4 linked regions of the Saccharomyces cerevisiae S288C genome follow. Each later gene encodes a partner of the first gene's protein in a complex. Each region holds a gene or a part of one and is shown in the gene's direction. Other genes may lie near its edges.

Region 1 (3,181 bases):
TTTTCAATACGCTGGATTGTGAGCGAGATTCACAGATAAGTTGTAGTAACTTGCTTAATCTGATAGACGATTCATTTGATTTAACGAAAATCAAAATCTTTGCAGCAATGGGGGAATGTGCCATAAATTGGCATATTGAATACAACAATATCAATGGCTTGTAAACACTTTTCGCCGTGGGAATGTTGATGTTAAATTCATTCAATTTGTTAGGTAGCTGGTACAATTTATCGGTTTGCTTCAGGAACAACTTTGGTTTGTAAAGGTTCAAGCCGTTTAACTTTTCTGTGTTGGTAGTCAATGTCGCACTGAAGATCATTTTGATCACGTTCCCTGGAAGTGTATCTAATTTATCCGTTTTCAAATGGGACATTAGTTTTGGACACCAGCCCTGGAAGGACTGGTTCAAAAGACGATCAGCCTCATCGATAATCAAAAACTTTAGGTTTTTCAAATTTATCGATTTCATATTTAGATGATCTACTAATCTACCAGGTGTAGTGATTAAGATATCTGGTTCCAAATTTGATAATTTTTTGTGTTCGTCCTTCAAAGAATTTTCTAATTTGGCAATGCTCACAATAAGCGACGTCCCTTGAGTTAGCTTTGTCAACGTAGTATAAACTTGGTTTATCAATAGTTTTGTGGGGACGATGATTATACAACGCAGTCTGTTAATTTGTCTCTTGAAGAGGGTTTGAACAATAGGAATGGAGTAAGCCAAAGTTTTACCTGAACCGGTAGCAGCATTTACAAGAATATCACCGATTCTTCTGGTGAAGTTTCTCTTAGATACGTTCAACGTGAAGTTCAATACCGGTAATATGGAGTCTAGGATGATCGATTGGATGGGAAAAGTGTTTGTAGAGAAATTCTTGCAAATATTCTGCAGTAGTTTTGCTTCTAATTCATTTGCGTAATCCGAGAACGGTTTGATCAAGGAATTATCATAATATATCTTCTCAGTATTTAACCAACCCGTAGATTTGAACTGTAATGAATTTGTATTCAAATTCATTGGGTTTTTGACGAATTCAGGTTGAGGAATCTGTTTTAGTTGGTGAGTTGAGGCCGCCTCGTCTTCAATACCTTCGTCTTCCTTACTCTCAGCAATATCAGATGCACCTAGCCTTTCTTGCAATGATACTGTTTGCTTGAATCTCGATAGCACTGTGCTGTGAGTACTTGGCTTACTCTCTTCCTCTTCCACTTCACTCGAATCCTCTTCACTAGCCCCATAATCTACTTGCATACGGTCTTCGTCTTCCTCTGAACTAGAGTTGGAACTCTCATCAGAATCTTGGTGAGAGCCATATTCTTCATTATCAGATTCAGTAGCCTGCCTCTTTAAAGGCACAATGGCCGGGGGAGTAGTTCCGACGATTCCTTCTGGTGCGCTAGCTGCAGGAGCAGTCAATTGGCTAGGGTCAAATCTCGATGCAAACATTGTCACTACCGGTCACCAATGGTAAAGGTGTCCAGTTTCGAGCACATCTCATCGCCAGTTATGCTTTCTATATAATACAAATCTGCAATAATTTTTCAAATTTTAAGCATCACCCGGCATTAGCGTTTGGATCACTATTCACGGTTATGGCTGAGCAAGAAATGGCAATTGGAAGCGCCTAGTAAGAATCTAACCATGACTTAAAACGGTGAGGTTCATTGCAAGAGCAGTACAGCATCGGCAGAAGTAGTGTCCACCAAAAATAAAATGCAACCGGCAGCTAGACTTTTATCGCGGTCCGTATGGAAGGGCCCCAACATCGTGCCATTACCCATAAGGGAGGCCATGACTAAGGGCACTCCAATAAGAACAAACGCAAGGGCCGCCACCATCCTTCCTCAGTTCGTGGGACTGAAATTTCAAATACACAATGGTAAGGAGTACGTACCTATTGAAATATCAGAAGATATGGTGGGCCACAAACTGGGCGAGTTCGCACCTACCAGGAAGCGTTTCAGCTATACTCAAACCAAGAACAAATGAGGGATCTAGTGTATATAGATTTCTAGATGATATATCATGTAAATAAGATCAAGCCAGACTCGGGCTGTATATATATATATATATAGCATAATAAACAGTAATAGTGCTTTTAAAAGCATTTCAGTCTTACCCGAGCGACAAAACGATTTGGGGAGAAAAAACGCATATAACCAGGGAAAAGACGGAGAACTTACAGGTACACCAGAATTGAAGCAGGCCAACAAGAGCCATGTTGTCGAGGTTTATGTCCAACACATGGTGTACGCCCTTGAGACAGGCGCAGAGATTGTTTTCCTCCACTACGACAATGCAAGCGACATTGAATCAGATTAAAAGAGGCTCCGGGCCTCCAAGACGCAAGAAGATAAGTACAGCTCCACAACTGGATCAGTGTCCCCAGCGGAAGGGTGTCGTATTACGTGTAATGGTTTTAAAGCCCAAGAAGCCGAATTCTGCGCAGAGAAAGGCGTGCAGGGTCCGTTTGACTAACGGGAACGTGGTATCTGCATATATACCGGGTGAGGGCCACGATGCTCAAGAGCATTCGATTGTATATGTCAGAGGTGGGCGTTGTCAGGACTTGCCTGGTGTGAAGTACCATGTTATCAGAGGTGCTGGTGACCTGAGTGGTGTGGTAAACAGGATTTCTTCGAGGTCGAAATATGGAGCCAAGAAGCCAAGTAAATCGTGATGCGCAGTACGCTCTAAGTTTTCTTTGGCCTCTCGACTACTTTTCTCTAATATTCCCACTCCATACAACCTTTTGTAAATAGCAATGACCATACATATATATATATATATATATATATATGTATTCTCAGTATACGCAATCAATGCTTTGGTATATTTGGTGTATTTGGCATACTTACTCGTATAAAGCGATCTGAATTTTCAGACGCTTGTATTGACAAGAAATACTATAAGCATAGGGGCTAACTAGCGTTCAAAGGAACTAGTGTAGATACAAGACTAGCAATCTTCTTGCCTCAAAACGGTAATCCGCAATGCTACACTTACAACCACAAAACCTTCTCATCCAAAAGACACTGAATGAAGCGATAGAGGCACTTCGCAAGGGTTCGCCGTTGACCATGGACAGAATTGTTTCCGATTTCGACTATACCACCTACCACATTTCAAACACAGCAGAAGATAAGTCCATTCTGTTGTTGAGTGTTAAGACCAAAGCTT
Region 2 (5,487 bases), on another chromosome or scaffold:
TACGCCTCATTGAGGGATCAAGACCCATCTCGTGCTGCATACCCGGGTCATCATTTGCCAGGGGAATGAAGCGATTAGTACTAGTCAATGCCTTTTCTCCAAACTGACCTTGTGGAGAAGCCTGTAGTTCAGACCCGCTCTGAGAATTGCTGCCATCTACGAAAGGACGAGGATACTCTTGCGTTTGTGTATGTTCCGCAGATGTCGGTACCAAGGGCTTGGACAGCAGGGCGTGGTCTGCCTCTGTCAAAGACCTATTTCCCATATTAATGATATAGTAGCAGTATTCAAGCAAGTACACGTGCGCAAGTTGTACCAGATAGTGACTGTCCAGCGTTACTTTCTCGCCTGCTCTGTATTACTCTTGTTGTCACTCCGCAATATCTCAAAGCCATTAATATGTACTAACTTGAATTTTTCATGCTCCCTTAAACGAAAATAACCCTACTGAGATTTTCACCTTTATAGGGTTATATGCTAAAATAAGTAGGTCTTATCATGCAACCTTTAGGGTCCAAGCCCTTAAATCCGACAGTCGGGCAAGCCCATTTTCCCAACGATTTTTCAACGGTTTTTTTGCCTGCAGGGCATCGGCAATTTGACAATACTCACGACCGATGGATGCAGCAATCAACGTAAAAACCTTACTTAGCCGGTTACTCATGTATATGTCAGACATATATACACACGCACACATATATATATACGTACATGTTGGCACCCTTCTGTTAATAGAATTTGATTTCTTTTCTAAAGGCATATCAGTATCATCAGTTGAAACAGTAAGGAGCTCCGCAAGCGCAATATTAACTTTACAAAAGTGATTCTGGTTCCTAACTTTTCTATTGTTTTCCATTTTCGTCATTCGTTTTGTTATTAGTCGCCTTAATTGAGTCAAGCAAGATAAAAGAAGAAAAAAAATGAGTATCACCACTACTAGAAGAAGAAACCAAGATAGTGTCTGCTGCAAGGCAACGAGAGCCTCCATTAAGGTGGAAGCTGTCTCAGGCCAGACAGTTTTTGAAAAGCAAAAACTGCTACACAATTTCGATGAGTTGCCAGAATGGCAAAAAGATAATGACAAAATTCTCACCGGGTACGTTCGTGAAACACTGTCATGGAAAAAGTGCTTATATTCTTTATTTTATTGGAACAACGAGACTGTGAACATTTATACACATTTGGTACCGGCTATCGTATACTTCGTGTTTGCCATTACGTTGACCAACTACTTTCTAATTCCCGTTTTCCCCTCCACTTCCTGGTCCGATTACACCGTTATAAACATTTTCTTGATGGGCGCTTTCTCATGTCTCATGTGCAGTAGCTGTTTCCACTGCATGAAGCAACACTCTGAAAAGCAAAGCAATTTCTGGAGCAAGCTCGACTACTTGGGGATTATCAGTTTGATTTCCTGTTCTATGATCCCTATAATATACTTTGGTTACTTCGACCACATATCCTACTTCAGTCTTTTCACGATTGTTACTTTAGTCCTGGCAACATTTTGTACAGTCTGTGTCCTCCACGACAAGTTTAACACTTCCACATTTCGTCCATTTAGGGCCATGTTTTTCATATTGTTTGGATTTAGTGGCTTACTCCCATTGACCACAGGGTTTTTCAAGTTCGGTATCCAAGGGGTTCTTAACAGAATAAAAGTCAGCTTTGTGTTTTGGGAAGCTCTCTTTTACATTTCAGGGGCTGTAATCTACGGGTTTAGGATTCCTGAAACTTTGGCTCCAGGGAAGTTCGATTTCTTCGGTAGCTCTCATCAAATATTTCATATTATGGTGGTTCTTGGTTCTGTATGCCACTTGAAAGCCATTATCGATTCTTACAAATTAATGCATTCTCATATCCACCCTTGATGGGCCTACAACTACTACAAAATCAAATAAATAACATTATATATCTAAGGTTAGAAAATAATTAAATGCAAAAAAAGTCTTTATTCCTTTTTAGATATTCGTCACATCATGCTTTTATCATAGATCGCATTTTGACAGGTACTTCGCTATATTAGCCTAATTAATTTTGGTCTTACTAAAGTGAGTAATGCCGAAAAATTAAACGTTTGAATAAGTGAACCTACTACAAAGGAAAGAGAGGAAGAGAAAAGGATAGGACTAAAAGACTTCCTTATATTTTTCGGTACGCTTGCGTTTCACTGAAGAGAATAAAAAGAACAAATTATATAAATTTAACACACTATGAGCACGAGAACAAAGGCCCTGAATGCATACAGGCATGGCTTAAGAGCAACCCGAATAGCTTTCCGGAATGATGCTGAAGTATTACTAGCCGCGAGAGCTAAAATGCGTTCAGGAATGTTATGTCCCCCAGATCCTAAACTCACCACAGAGGATCAGATTCAACATTTAGAGGATGTGGCTGTTTTTTTGAGACGAAACCTGGTTCAGGGCAAAAAGGTTGATGGCTCAAGTACTAAGGAGCCTAGGTACCATTTGAACATTCACAAAGACACCGAATTGGGTGACAATGAGACGATTGCAGACCCTACGGCAAGAGTGAAAACAAACTTAAAGGCAAGACCATTTAAATGCTCTGATAAAAAGCAATGATAATGCCTTGATTTTGTTTTATCTTCGAAGCTATATACATGTAAATACTTTTTTAGTACCTAGCAACTTTGCTAGGTGGCATATAAACTGATTTAGCACGATATATCGTTGCATTTGTTCTGTTTGTAGTATGTACATGTATACAGCTTGTTGTATTTGATGTGCTACTGAAACAGCGTAGTTGCTAGTGCTTTATCCCTTTTGACGGAAATGAACAAAGCTTTATAGCGGAATTAAACTTAACGAAACTGGAGAAAGCATAAAAGAGGAAAAGGGCAGCGGTAACTCATTAAATAATCTAGTTGGACGAGCCATAATAAGAGAAATAGACGGAGTAGAAAATGCGCTCCTCCATGTTTAGATGTGTGAGTCGCGCTCATTACAGCACAAGTGTCACAGAAGATTTCATAAATAGCATTCTAGCAAGGGCTCAAGAGGCAACAGCAAAAGCTTCCTCCAATGCTCTCAAATTGGACAAGATGAAGGAGGGTAGAATGCAAAATAAGAGGAGAAACGGGAATCAGAATAGGAATAGTATGAACAATAAAGAAAGCAGGGGTAGAGAGGGAAATCAAGGAGAAAGAAACATGAGACTGAAAAACCGTTCTAGTGATTCTGTTCGTGCTAACAAGCAGCAGTGGAATAAAGGTGCTAATACGTCTTTTGTAAAGAATCCTACTGGAAATACAGTAGTTATGCAGCCACAGTTCAAAAAGATGCAGAATGGCAAAAATAATTTGAAAGGAGATGCGAGAGTCGAAGATGATTTACTTGATGTCTTCAATTCGTCGATGGAGCAAAAACCTGTTAATTTCAATGGAACCCCCAAATCTAAAGCAAGGTTTCAAAAAAAGAGTCATATCTTAACAGCATCTAAAAGGAGAAAGGCTCCTCAACAGCAGCTACAGAAGGTTATCAAGAGACCTGTCAGTTCAGAATATGTACTAGAAGAGCCCACTCCTTTATCTTTGTTAGAATATACTCCTCAAGTTTTTCCAACAAAGGAATCCAGATTAGTCAACTTTACCTTAGATAGCTTGAAAAAATCCAATTACCCCATTTACAGATCGCCAAATTTGGGAATCCTCAAAGTACATGATTTCACCCTAAACACGCCAAACTTTGGTAAATATACACCAGGATCCTCCTTGATTTTTGCCAAAGAGCCTCAATTGCAGAATTTACTTATTGAAGAAGACCCAGAAGATTTTCATAGGCAAGTAACAGGAGAATATCAACTCTTAAAACCATATGTGAAAAAAGATTTTGAAAAACTGACGAAATCTAAAGATACTGTGAGTAAGCTCGTACAAAATAGTCAAGTTGTGAGGTTATCATTACAATCTGTTGTTATGGGCTCCGAGGAAAAGAAATTGGTATATGATGTTTGTTCTGGAATGAAACCAATTTCTGAATTACAACAGTAAATCAAACATCGTTATTTCATTCTTACATACCTGTAAATATCTAGTACGTATAAAATTTGAATTGTATGCCTGAACAGAAAAAGAATAGGTGGGCTCTTCTTATCCTTGACTATCAAAATTCCGGCTTAGTTCGTCAGAAATGGATATTTGATTTTTCAACAAACATTTCCGCAAATTAGATTCCTCCTTCTTTTCTTGATACTTAATAAGTACCTTTAAAAGCAATTCGGATATTGTTTGTACGGGAAATACGGAAGGTATAGTTTCGAGGATCTTTAATTGAATATCTGTATCATCTAAAAGTTCAAAATTTCTCTGTAGCAAATTAGTCACTAATTCAACTGAGTAATTCAAAGAAGATATGTCCAAGTATTGTTTCATCACCGCAACCAAGTTCTGCTTGCCTATGTATTTTTCTACACTTCTGAAATCATTAAATGACAAATATATTTTCAGCAATTCTTCGGAAGAAACCCAGTTTGTTAATTCATTGGGGAAAAATAACAAGGTCAATATGTGTTCTTTATCGATCTTGGAAATTTCGTCGAAGGTGAAATTAATAAACTCATCATCTTTTTCATTTTCCGATTTCAAGTTTTCACATTTTTCATAATATTTGGAAAAATTTTCGCACTGAAGACTATGCTTTAATTTGATATGAATAAAATTTGTTATATCTGTCTTATCATACGCGAAATCGTCTTTGTACTCTTTGATAAAATCTCCAAGAATGGACCATATGTTACTTTGGTTGATTATTTCTCGCAATTTCGCCAAATAATAGTTAAAGAGAAATTTGGAATCGTTGCTGTTTTGGACACCGAGTTGTTCTATGAATGATACCTTCAGGGATGTTTCTTCTGCGGGTATTTTGTTTAAAAAGTCGTTTTTATTAATACATGCCATGTCCAATATTTTAAGAACCTTTTTGATGGCGCATTCCTCAGTATTTTCGTCGCCTTGTTTAAGAGTGAGGAGAAGATCATCGGCTATTCTTTCTTTGATATAATCCTCAGGAAGTTTTTTGAGATTTTCTTCAATGAATGAAACTAGTGAAATGTAATCCCCAGCTTCCCTCAAAAGATTTAGTGCTTTAAGATATTCCCCTTTTTCTTTATATATCTCAATTAGTAACTCTATCCTAGGAAGTTTATCATCATGTAAATTAATCTCTCTGATAATTTCGTCGTAACTTTCGCGTTCAAACATATCAACAGTTATAGTTTCCTTTTTTTCCAATCTTAATTTGAATAAAGTTATATCAATAGTTTTCATTATATCATCAAAGTCATTCGTTAAGAGTCCAGTTTTATTCTTTTTCTTTAGTTCATTCTTCATCATCAGAAGCATTTTTAGAATATTCTCGCATTTGTTAGTTAGCTTCAAGCTTTTCAACCTTTCAACTATATTTATTAACCCATGGAAGCACCAGATCTCGCTATAGACTTTCCAGCCAAACATATAAAATAATATTC
Region 3 (4,977 bases), on another chromosome or scaffold:
TTTAGGTAAATGGGGTATTAAATGAGATTTGACGCAAATGGGAGCTCCAGCTGGACCACCACCACCATGAGGAATGGAAAATGTCTTATGTAAATTCAAGTGGCAAACATCTGCACCAAGATCTCCGGGTGAAGTTAGCCCAACCTGCGCATTCATATTAGCACCATCCAAATAGACTTGTCCACCAAAAGAATGTACGATATCAATAGCATGTTGGATGCCTGGTTCAAATAAACCGTAAGTGGAAGGATAGGTGATCATTACGGCGGCTAGTTCTTTAGAATGTTGTTCAGCCTTATTCTTTAAGTCAACCAGATCTAATGAGCCATCCTGCAAACAGTTGACAGGAACAACTTTTAAACCCGCCATAGCGGCAGAAGCCGGATTTGTACCATGAGCGGATACAGGGATTAAACACACGTTACGATGATTTTCACCTTTGCTTTCCAGGTAGGATCTGATTACTCTCAGACCAGTATATTCACCTTGAGCACCTGAATTTGGTTGTAAAGAAATACCATCGAAACCTGTAATGCTGCATAAATCTTTCTCCAACGAAGTAATTAGTTCCTTGTATCCTTGGACTTGGTTTGATGGCTGGAACGGATGGATATTCGAAAATTGGGGCCAAGTGATTGGCATCATTTCAACAGTACTGTTCAATTTCATAGTACAGGAACCTAAAGGAATCATAGAATTAGCAAGAGATAAATCACGAGATTGCAACCTATGTAAATATCTCAACATTGCTGTTTCGCTATGGTGCATGTGAAAGACTTCGTTCCTCAATATTTCATCAGTACGCTGAAATTCCCTTGGGAAACTGTTAGAATAGTCCTCAGAAAGAAACTGCGAAGAATTTTCAATGTCAAACACTTTTAGTAGATTTTCAACATCAGCTTTTGTAGTTGTTTCATCAAGAGCCAAGGAAATAGTGGTGGTGTCCACGGCAAACAAATTGATATTAAATTCTTTCAAGGCCTTGTCCAATAACTGCTCGGAGGATATGCCATTACCTAACTTTATAGTCAAAGTATCAAACCATGTTTTATTAATTAGTTCGTGAGGGCAACTGTCATTTTCGATGGCATTTGCCAATATTGATGTTAAGCTAAATATCCTCCTGGAAATATTCTGTAGGCCCTTAGGACCGTGATAAACACAGTAGCTCGAAGCAACATTAGCCAGTAAAGCTTGAGCGGTACATATATTTGAAGTTGCCTTATCACGCTTGATATGTTGTTCTCTTGTTTGGAGGGCCAACCGCAAGGCCGTCTTGCCTAAGCGGTCTTTAGAGATACCGACAATTCTACCTGGAATTTTTCTGTTTAATTTATCAATAACAGCGAAAAAAGCAGCATGAGGACCACCATAACCCATTGGGACACCAAATCGTTGAGAGGAACCCAGGACGATATCAGCACCGTAATGAGCAGGTGGTTTTAGAAGTGTCAAAGCCATTAAATCTGAGGCCACAGAGAGCAAAGACTTGTGAGAGTGTAACGCATCAGATAACTGTTTCATCGAGTCAGGCGGTAAGATTGAACCATCTGTCGCTGGATATTGAACCAAACAACCAGATACGTCGGGGTTCTTTAAAACATCCACAGCTTTCTTGATATCCGAACAGTCAACTTCAATAATTTCAATATTGAACGGCTTGGCTCTGGTGTGAAGGACACTCTTTGTTTGCTGGTGTAATTTTTTATCTATTACGTATTTTAGTTTCTTTTTTCTGGAAATATTGAATGACAAGAGCATAGCTTCTCCAGCCGCTGTACCCTCATCCAACAATGAGGCGTTCGCCACAGGCAAACCAGTCAAATCTGAAACAACCGTTTGAAAGTTTAATAGCGCTTCTAGCCTACCTTGAGAAATTTCGGGTTGATAGGGCGTATAAGAAGTATACCATTCTGGACTTTCTAGCAGGTTTCTTTGTATAACCGGTGGTAAAATCGTACCGTAGTAACCCTTACCTATGAAATTTTTAACTTTATAGTGGTTCTTATTGGCAATCTTTTCTAGATGTTGAAGCATTTCTTGTTCACAGAATCCCTTACTAGGAGCTTCTAGTTTCAAGGGTCTTCTCTTCAAAATATTGGGAGGAACGAGCTCTTCTATAAATGCGTTTAAATCGCTATAACCCATTGTTTTTAACATTTTCTTAACGTCGCTAGGAGAAGGACCTAAATGACGTCTAGCAAAAGTATCTAGCGGTCTATCAATGTTTTTCAAGTCAGGATTGAAAATCCTGCTGTACTGTGTAGACGTTATGTCTGTAGCGGCTGTTTTGAGCAAAATAGATTGAGAATGGAATGATCTAGTCCTCGCTAATGAAACATAATTGGTGCTTGACCTGACAGTAGCCCTACAAAGGAGAGCAGTCACTCTTGTCCTAAGCATGTTATCTTCCTGGTATTAGGAAACGTTTTTCCAATAAACTGTGGTTAGTTGATGGTTAGATCGCGCAGCAATCAATACAGTAAGATTGGTACACACGAGAAAGACTAATTCACTGGAACTTGAAGAGAAGAAAATTGTGCCACTCGAGCCTGCTATATATACATCCATTTATATTCGTTGGAGATCTTTCGACTAGCTTATCAAGGTCCTTCACAGCTCAATGCTGACTTCGATGACTCCTCTGAGAGTCATGACTCCGAAAAGGAGGAGTCTATACCTCAAGAAGAGTCAGAGATGTCGGGTAACGATTCAACCGGGTAACATGATTGTTATTTCATAAGATTAGAATTCTGAAGCAATTTGGGATTGTGCCAAACCAATGCGAGCATCAAACTGTTAGAGGAAATCCACAAATAAGGCCAAACAGAAGTAAACTCAGGGAGTTGAATTCGGGTTAGAGATTTCAAAAGTCAAATCAAGATCAGTTAAACTGTAATGGCTCGCCAAAATTTTTTAGGCTTGGTCGTCTCCCAAGGGAAGATGCAAAAGACGGTTAAAGTACGTGTAGAAACAAAAGTCTTTAATAAGAAAATCAACAAGGAGTTATTTCATAGAAGAGATTATTTAGTGCATGATGAAGGTGAAATATCAAGGGAGGGTGATTTAGTAAGGATAGAAGCGACGAGGCCGCTTTCAAAGAGGAAGTTTTTTGCCATTGCAGAAATTATTAGAAACAAGGGTCAACAATTTGCATTATACGAATCAGAAGCTCAGTTAAGCGTTGCAAAAGAAGAAGCCCAAAAGGCAAAAGAATTTTTGGATAAAAGATCAGTGAGGGAGAATAAACTAAATGAAAAAACAACCCTTTTACGTGATATTAGGACCATCCAAGATGCTTTATCTAGCGGGTCAACGCCGAAAGAGTTATTGGAGATTAAACAAAGGTACGGCATTCAAGATTTTTCACAAGAAACAGTGAGGCAACTTTTACAGTTAGACATCTCTGGATTGGAGGTTAATTTGGAGAAACAAAGAAGTCTCATTGATCGTATTCAAACGCGATTATCCGAATTGTTGTCGAATGATCTAAAATGTGATCAATTTTTGAAGGATCATGGTGTTGAGGATCCTTTGACCTTGAAAAAAAACATCAAAAAAAATTTGTTAAGAAAGCACGTCATGATGGATATGCAACAACCAAGCCAGTAAATAAAAGAAAGAGGAAAGCCGAGTGTCATATTTTCTCAACTAAAGCACTACACTCTGTAAATATATACAACTACAAGACTTCGTTACGTAAATAGTAAAGTGTTATGTTTTGACTTTAAAATATTCTAGTGAAAAGAACGATGTTTTTGATTTTCTATCGTTTAACGCATTTATATATTTTCAGGCAAGTGATATCGAAGATGTGAGTACATCGCTCGTCCCCATCGTCAAAAACAAAAGTAAATAAAAGAGCTCTGCTCTGATTTTACAAACAAGAAAATTCCAAGGAAATAGTCCAAGTTTTATATGACCCCACCTCATTTTTTTTTATCTCTCATAAAAAAAAGATGCATATGCTGGATATGTTTGGAAGAATCCACATATGACTCTACATGGCTACAGCACACGTGCGGTTGCAACTTACAAATTCATAAACGCTGCTATATAAGATGGCTCTATCAAATGCATGTTGAACTTTTTCTTCCGAACACAGTGGACCTACCAAAGGATGCTGATTTACCTATAATCACCTGTTTAAAATGTCTCGTTGATGGGCACCATGATTTTATGACGACTTTCTCTCTTACAGAAATATGGGAAACTCGTCCCATTTGGGGGCAAAAATCAGTACCGTTTCAAAATGACTACGTGTTCAATCTAATGTCTCTTTATACCAAACGGGATAATCATCCACCTTATGTGTTAGTGAAATTTGGCGAATGTCCTCAATGCAAGAAAACAAATTTCATAAAAAGACCTACAGTAACCATCCAGTCTTCTGTACTATCCCTGTTTTATCAGTGGCAAAAAATTACACGATACGTGATACCATTAGGGATAACTAGTTTATTTCTTTTAAACCCTGAAAAGACAAGTTTTGACATTGGATTATGGCAACTACGCTGCCTTTTCCCTGAGAATGTTCTACGAAATATGTTAAACATCAGCACTACAAAGGCATTGGACGTATATGCGCAAACTGAACGTGGCTTATTAAGCATTCCTTTAACCTCCTCGATCATAATATATGGGTTCATACATTATCTTAGCAACATTTCTAACGTCAGTGCTAATGCAATACTCTTTAAGTGGGTGTATCTCAGTATTGTAAAAACTGCTGGAAACAAATATTACAAGGGTATAGGTTTACCTAAAATAATTTTGTATTCTAACTTGGCTACATTTTGCTATAATTTTACCTTTAAAAGATTGGTTGACTTAATTTACAGGAGGCTGATCAATAAAGGAGGTAAGTATTTGTATCACGGAAATTTTGAAAACTCTAGTAATAGCGTTCCAGCTGAGGAATTTTTTATCAGGCGGAATTGGTATGCTATTCTTGCAGAAAAGATACTATGGCCCTTT
Region 4 (5,750 bases), on another chromosome or scaffold:
TATTTAAGAACTGATCTTCTTGACCACTTTTTTTATGCGTGCAACTTTAAATGCTTTCATACATTTCCTTGGTCTTTCATCAGATGATATGCCAGATATCAACAATTATAGACCTAATATAACATTGAGTTATTTTTTACACGTATAATAATAACTCCTTCTCCGGCAATGAATATTTTGCTTCCAAATTGCAAAATTCAAGATTTAATTATAAAAACTCTGAAGTAATAGACCACCTATTTCAAAAATATTCCGTATTTTTCCCTCTCTATAAAAACAAAGGGCTTCCAAAATATCCATTCCAATAAACGGTAAACTCACCCATTTATGATTGGGACAAGAGCAAAAAAAAAGGAAATTGGGAAAAAAAAAGAGAAAGAAAGCAACAGAATAAAGGGAACTTGATAAAACTGAAGTACCGTGGGTCAAGTAGCGTGAAAGAGTCAATTCATCGACTAATGGATGCATAAAACGTATGACTGTATAGTACTGGAGTGAAAACGAAGAGATAAAGAAAGGAAAAAGGGAGATTAATAAAAAGAAAAAAATTAAAGGAGTTCTATATTTGGATTAGTCTTTTATTCTTTCTGCTTACCACCATGAAGCGTTGCTATTTCCGTAACCGTTTTTCTCATTATCATTTCTAAACCCACCTCCAATCGAACCCCAATTTGATGTTCCAGTATTCCTTGGCCTCGTGCTCCCAAATGAGCCATTTCCACCATGTTTACGGTAGTCTCTTGAACCGTTATTACGACTATTGAAAAAACCTCCTCCTCCCCTAGTTCTTCCACCTCTTGAATTCTGTCTTGACAGGTCACTTAAAAACGTGGGAACTTCTTGATTCGCTTCATTTAAAATTTCCATCAAACCCTTCACAATATTCTGATTATTACTATTGAAGAATGAAGTAGCCACGCCTGTGTTACCAGCACGGCCTGTTCTACCAATTCTGTGAACGTAGTCATCGATGTCGGAGGGCAAATCATAATTAATGACATGTGTGACATTCGGTATATCCAAACCTCTCGCTGCTACAGCTGTTGCGACCAGGATATCAGCTACGTTAGCTTTGAAAGCAGATAAGGCACGTTCACGTTCAGCCTGTGTGCGGTCACCATGTATGGCTGTAGCTTTGAAATTTTGCATGATCAAAAAATCTGTGAGTTGATCCGCCATTCTTTTCGTTTCAACAAAAATCAATGTCAATCCCTTATGCTCTGCAGACAGTAAATCTAACAACGCAGACTTTTTGTCCATGTCATCGACATATAATATTCTTTGCGTGATATTTTCTGAGGTGGAACCGACTCTTCCTACTGATAAAAAAATATAATTATCTAAGAAATCGCGTGCCAAATGCTGGATATCTACTGGGAATGTGGCGGAAAACATCAAGGTCTGTCTATTTTCCACAGAGGGCATATCACATTCTTCAACTATATGGCGAATTTGGGGTTCGAATCCCATATCTAGCATTCTATCAGCCTCATCCAATACCAGGTATTTGATATTAGCCAAAGAAACTTTTCCGCGTTCTAATAAGTCATTCAGCCGCCCTGGTGTAGCCACCAATAAGTCACAGCCGCGGTCAACCTCCCTCATCTGGTTACCGATTGGCGCGCCACCATAAACAACGCATGGCCTAACCCAAGATCTATACGTAAATTTTCTTGCTTCTTCAAAAATTTGGGTAGCCAATTCTCTAGTTGGTGCAAGTACTAAAGCAGATGGATATCCCTTTCTAGAATAAAAGCTCTGTGCTTTCTCGGGTACTGGAGAGGGCCCAGACCTGAATAGCTCCGTGAAGAGCGGAAACAAAAACCCACCTGTCTTACCTGAGCCCGTTTGTGCGCATGCCATCAAATCCCTACCTTTGGTAACTATTGGAATAGAATATTTTTGTACTGGAGTAGGTTTGGTGAAACTAGCAAGTTTGATATTTTCCATTAACAGCTCATCCAGAGGGGGAGAACTAAAATCTAGTATAGGTTCAGGAACATCTTTTCCAGATGCATCTACGGGAATATTATCGTAATTATCAAACTTTATACCAGATGAATGGTAATCGGGATCGTCGTGTACACCAAACAGTTCGGCTTCTAATTTCGCGTTCTTAGGCCCCGGTATATGCTTGCCATTTACCCATCTATTTCCAGATGATTTGTAATTTGAGCTGCCTCCGCGGTTATAGTTCGCACTCGTCCCTCCATTTCTTTCCTTAGAAAAGCCAAAAAACCCGCCATTGTTCCCAGTTTGCCTTCCAGCACGTCTGAAAAAATCACCACCCGTAACCTTATCTTCCTGTTTTGGGGTACTTCTTTCGAATGATGGTTTTCCTCTACTTCTCAAGTGCGGTGGGACATAAGATGATTTGCCGCCACCACCACCATTCTCTTTGTTGTTGATGCTTAAATTAGATACCTTCTGTGGCAAGTCTGCCATTTTTTCTTGTAATACTTTCACTCAAAGGGGTTTTTCTTAAAATATCCTTTAACTGACACTACCGATATCTTTTATAATCATGAATAATCCTTGTTATAAAATAAAGGCATTACTTCAGAGATGACCTTAAGTAACCTTCCCTTAAAATTGTTAAAGAACTCGCGGGGTAATATTTACGTTGACAGTGATATTTGTTTTGAGAAATCAAAGAATGAAGAACTTAGATGTAGAGTTAAAGGAGCAATACGAATAGGTGCCGTGATGAAGAAAAAAAATCATACAGACATTTGCTACAACCCTTGGTGAGACTGTTTCGATCATTTTTCTTTTTCTTTTTCTTTATTTTAGAAAAAATTGAACGAAATGACATTGGCAGAGTTGCTTGGACGGTCGAGAATAGCTCAAGTAGCTAACAATCATAAACCATTGACATACACTGGCAAAAAATTTCATCCAACACATCAAATCATCGAAACTAAGCCATCGACACTATACAGACAAGAATGGGGGTTGAAATCCGCTATTCCTTCGAAAATTAAATCTCGATATTTGGTGTACAACGATTTGGATACGTTGGAAAGAATTACCACATTCGAACCTAGAGGCGGTACGCAATGGAATAGGCTAAGATTTCAAGAAATGGGAGTACCAATTGTGTCTAATATAGGCAGACAAAATCCATTTTTCAAGTACATATCTCGTCCTGAGGATGAGTCTCATGCTAAATTGTCCTTATTCAAAGAAATGAAAGGAGATACAGATATTTCGCCTGCTGCTATGAAGAAGCGTTTGAAGAAGATAACAGCACTAATTAGATCGTTTCAAGATGAATTTAAAGAGTGGCTGGTGGAAAATCATCCGGATGAATTGAAATTGAATTCTAATAAGCTGGAAGACTATGTAGTGAAGTTTCTAAACAAAAAGTTGGAAACAAAAACGAATAAAAAATTTAACACTGAAATCATTGGTACAGGTGGATTATCATACAGCTTGCCAGGAAAGCTAAAAAACTCACCAAATGGTGTCATTCAAAGGACTGTAGTACCCGGTAGAATCTTGAACGTTGTTAAGGAGAACAACGACAATAAATGGCTGGCAGCTATTGGTGGGTTTGTGGCCGATGTGGTATTTTTCCAATCACCACCTAGTTCCTTTAACTCCATGGGAGATTTCATCAGAATGAAAACGTTCTTGTTCGAGATCTTGGAGGCATCTATGGAGAAAAATGGTTCTGTTTCGATGCACGCTAGATTACTCGAACCACAAAATGACAAGACCAGAGAATTTTTCAATAAGAGACCAATTTATAAACCATTGACCTCTAGAAGGGCACGTCGACCATCAGTGGGAAACATTCAAGAGGCCAATAACCTTTTGAATATAATCAAGGGAAATTGAGAAGAGAAAAAAAAAATGTGAACAATCAATGTATATTCAGAGTTCTGTAAATAAATAAAGAAAATAAAGTTTACATATTACTAAGGATTTTTGTCGCCTATTTTTACTATTTTTCAGGTGAAATGAAACGTTTTATATCACATTTTGCTATGATAACAAAGTTATTATGATTTTTATGTAGCCTATATTATTGACGCGTTGTTATAGCATTCTATGAATTTGCCTGTCATTTTCCACTTCAGAAAGGTCATCTAATTGCTCCCACCAGTTGAATAAGTAATTCTCGCAAATAATCTTAAACCAAGGCGTAAACTTGTAACTTGGGTCAGCAAACATAGTTTTCAAATCATTTGGTGAAACCCATTTGAAGTCTCTAACTTCATTGACGTTTGGGTTGACAGTCAAGTTTTCTTTAGCGTTGATCTTATAAAATAGGATGTAATCAATTTCATGTTCACCCCATGGTTCATTGCTTGGTGCCATGTAATGGATTCTGTTTAAAAAGTGAAACTTACCCCTTGTCTTAGTTTCATCTTCTGGAATACCTAATTCATGATCTAGTTTTCTCACCGCCGCAGTAATAGCGCCCTTAATCTTATCGTCTAGCTTACCCTTCAAACCTAATTCGTCATCAATACATAGTGGATGAGAGCAGCATGTGTTAGTCCAAAGATCAGGGAAAGTTATTTTTTCAGTGGCTCTTTGTTGTAAAAGTAATTCACCTTGTTCATTGAAAATAAAGACGGAGAATGCACGATGTAGTAAACCCTTTTCAATATTTTCCATTAAATGACAAACTTTCTTGGTACCGGCACCAATAGCATTATCGTCCCAATCCAAAACAATACAATTTTCATTCATTAACTTAATTTGCTCCTCATCATGACCAGAAAAACATGTTTCTCCGCTTTCGTCATTTGACGTCTCACTAGATCGGGTATTAGGTCTTTGTTGTAATGGAATAATTTCAGGAAACTCTTCCAAAATGTCTTCAGGTGTTTGGTTTTGCACTAATTTGGCGTAACTAGATACTGCACCATGGGGCATACTATTGTTGTCGGCAGTCATTGAGGTGTAATGAATTTTTGGCTTATTTTTACTCTTCCTGTATTCCAAATACGAATACTCTAATATTGAATTAAGTGGGATATACGCCTTCTTGTCACTAGAAAACTGTTTCCTGTTAAATAGATAAAAATGAATAAATAAATATAAATGGAGTTAAGACCGAAAAAGAAAGGCAACCCCCATCGACAAGAAAAGAGTTATGAATAATCATGTTTCTTAATAACAATTAAAGGGAAAAGAATCGGCTGGGCATCGTCATTGCGAAACTGTTGACTGGAAAAATTTCAATCACAATTAAGTTTTGTCCATTTCGTTCCAGCAAGAACGGAAACTTTTACCGATAGCAGCGGAAAAAAAGAAAAAAGAAAAAAAAAAGAAATTAATATAGGCAAAATAGCCGCATGAAGCCCTTAATAACCTATACTATTCTGTGACTGTTATTTATTTACCCTCGTAATATTAAAAATGTCCTATACAATTTCTGTAATAAAACCTAATTTTTTTAGGACCCTTGAGTGTTACCCTGCTCATGTTTTTATTTTTGTTTTAGAGAAATGTAAACAACAGTTTGGGAAAGTTTCAAGAATTGTAAACAACTAATCAAGGGATAATACTATTTTACTCTTTCCTTTAAACATGAAGAACTATTTTTTGTTTACGTTTTTTTCTGAATTGAACAATAAGATCTTGTTAATTTTTTTATCGCTTGATCTATTATCAGATCTTCTCTTTTGAAAAACTAGTCCTTTTCCAAATTACAAACTTTCTTTTCGTGTGGAGTTGATCAGTTCAGTTTCTCCAATACTTCTTAAGTCACTGAAAATATAACGAAAAAAAGG

What was found.
Region 2: MRPS12 (region 1) and RSM28 share a complex: the UniProt entries of both Saccharomyces cerevisiae proteins name them as parts of the mitochondrial small ribosomal subunit.
Region 3: MRPS12 (region 1) and MRPS17 share a complex: the UniProt entries of both Saccharomyces cerevisiae proteins name them as parts of the mitochondrial small ribosomal subunit.
Region 4: MRPS12 (region 1) and MRP51 share a complex: the UniProt entries of both Saccharomyces cerevisiae proteins name them as parts of the mitochondrial small ribosomal subunit.

Annotation. Positions count from the first base shown.
Region 1 is NC_001146.8:693,861-697,041, reverse strand, and holds MRPS12 (mitochondrial 37S ribosomal protein uS12m MRPS12), read left to right. Parts: upstream 1-2,219; coding exon 2,220-2,681; downstream 2,682-3,181. Other genes in the region: putative ATP-dependent RNA helicase DBP6, read right to left, coding at 1-1,447; mitochondrial 37S ribosomal protein uS19m RSM19, read left to right, coding at 1,715-1,990; ARC35 (Arc35p), read left to right, coding at 2,995-3,181. UniProt on the Saccharomyces cerevisiae protein: Component of the mitochondrial ribosome (mitoribosome), a dedicated translation machinery responsible for the synthesis of mitochondrial genome-encoded proteins, including at least some of the essential transmembrane subunits of the mitochondrial respiratory chain.
Region 2 is NC_001136.10:1,434,004-1,439,490, forward strand, and holds RSM28 (mitochondrial 37S ribosomal protein mS46 RSM28), read left to right. Parts: upstream 1-2,926; coding exon 2,927-4,012; downstream 4,013-5,487. Other genes in the region: serine/threonine protein kinase PKH1, read right to left, coding at 1-265; IZH1 (PAQR-type receptor), read left to right, coding at 921-1,871; MZM1 (Mzm1p), read left to right, coding at 2,214-2,585; CORVET complex subunit VPS3, read right to left, coding at 4,112-5,487. UniProt on the Saccharomyces cerevisiae protein: Component of the mitochondrial ribosome (mitoribosome), a dedicated translation machinery responsible for the synthesis of mitochondrial genome-encoded proteins, including at least some of the essential transmembrane subunits of the mitochondrial respiratory chain.
Region 3 is NC_001145.3:634,926-639,902, reverse strand, and holds MRPS17 (mitochondrial 37S ribosomal protein uS17m MRPS17), read left to right. Parts: upstream 1-2,898; coding exon 2,899-3,612; downstream 3,613-4,977. Other genes in the region: GCV2 (glycine decarboxylase subunit P), read right to left, coding at 1-2,403; YMR187C (uncharacterized protein), read left to right, coding at 3,919-4,977. UniProt on the Saccharomyces cerevisiae protein: Component of the mitochondrial ribosome (mitoribosome), a dedicated translation machinery responsible for the synthesis of mitochondrial genome-encoded proteins, including at least some of the essential transmembrane subunits of the mitochondrial respiratory chain.
Region 4 is NC_001148.4:323,820-329,569, forward strand, and holds MRP51 (mitochondrial 37S ribosomal protein bS1m MRP51), read left to right. Parts: upstream 1-2,808; coding exon 2,809-3,843; downstream 3,844-5,750. Other genes in the region: YPL119C-A (uncharacterized protein), read right to left, coding at 205-468; putative DEAD-box ATP-dependent RNA helicase DBP1, read right to left, coding at 592-2,445; isopentenyl-diphosphate delta-isomerase IDI1, read right to left, coding at 4,045-4,911. UniProt on the Saccharomyces cerevisiae protein: Component of the mitochondrial ribosome (mitoribosome), a dedicated translation machinery responsible for the synthesis of mitochondrial genome-encoded proteins, including at least some of the essential transmembrane subunits of the mitochondrial respiratory chain.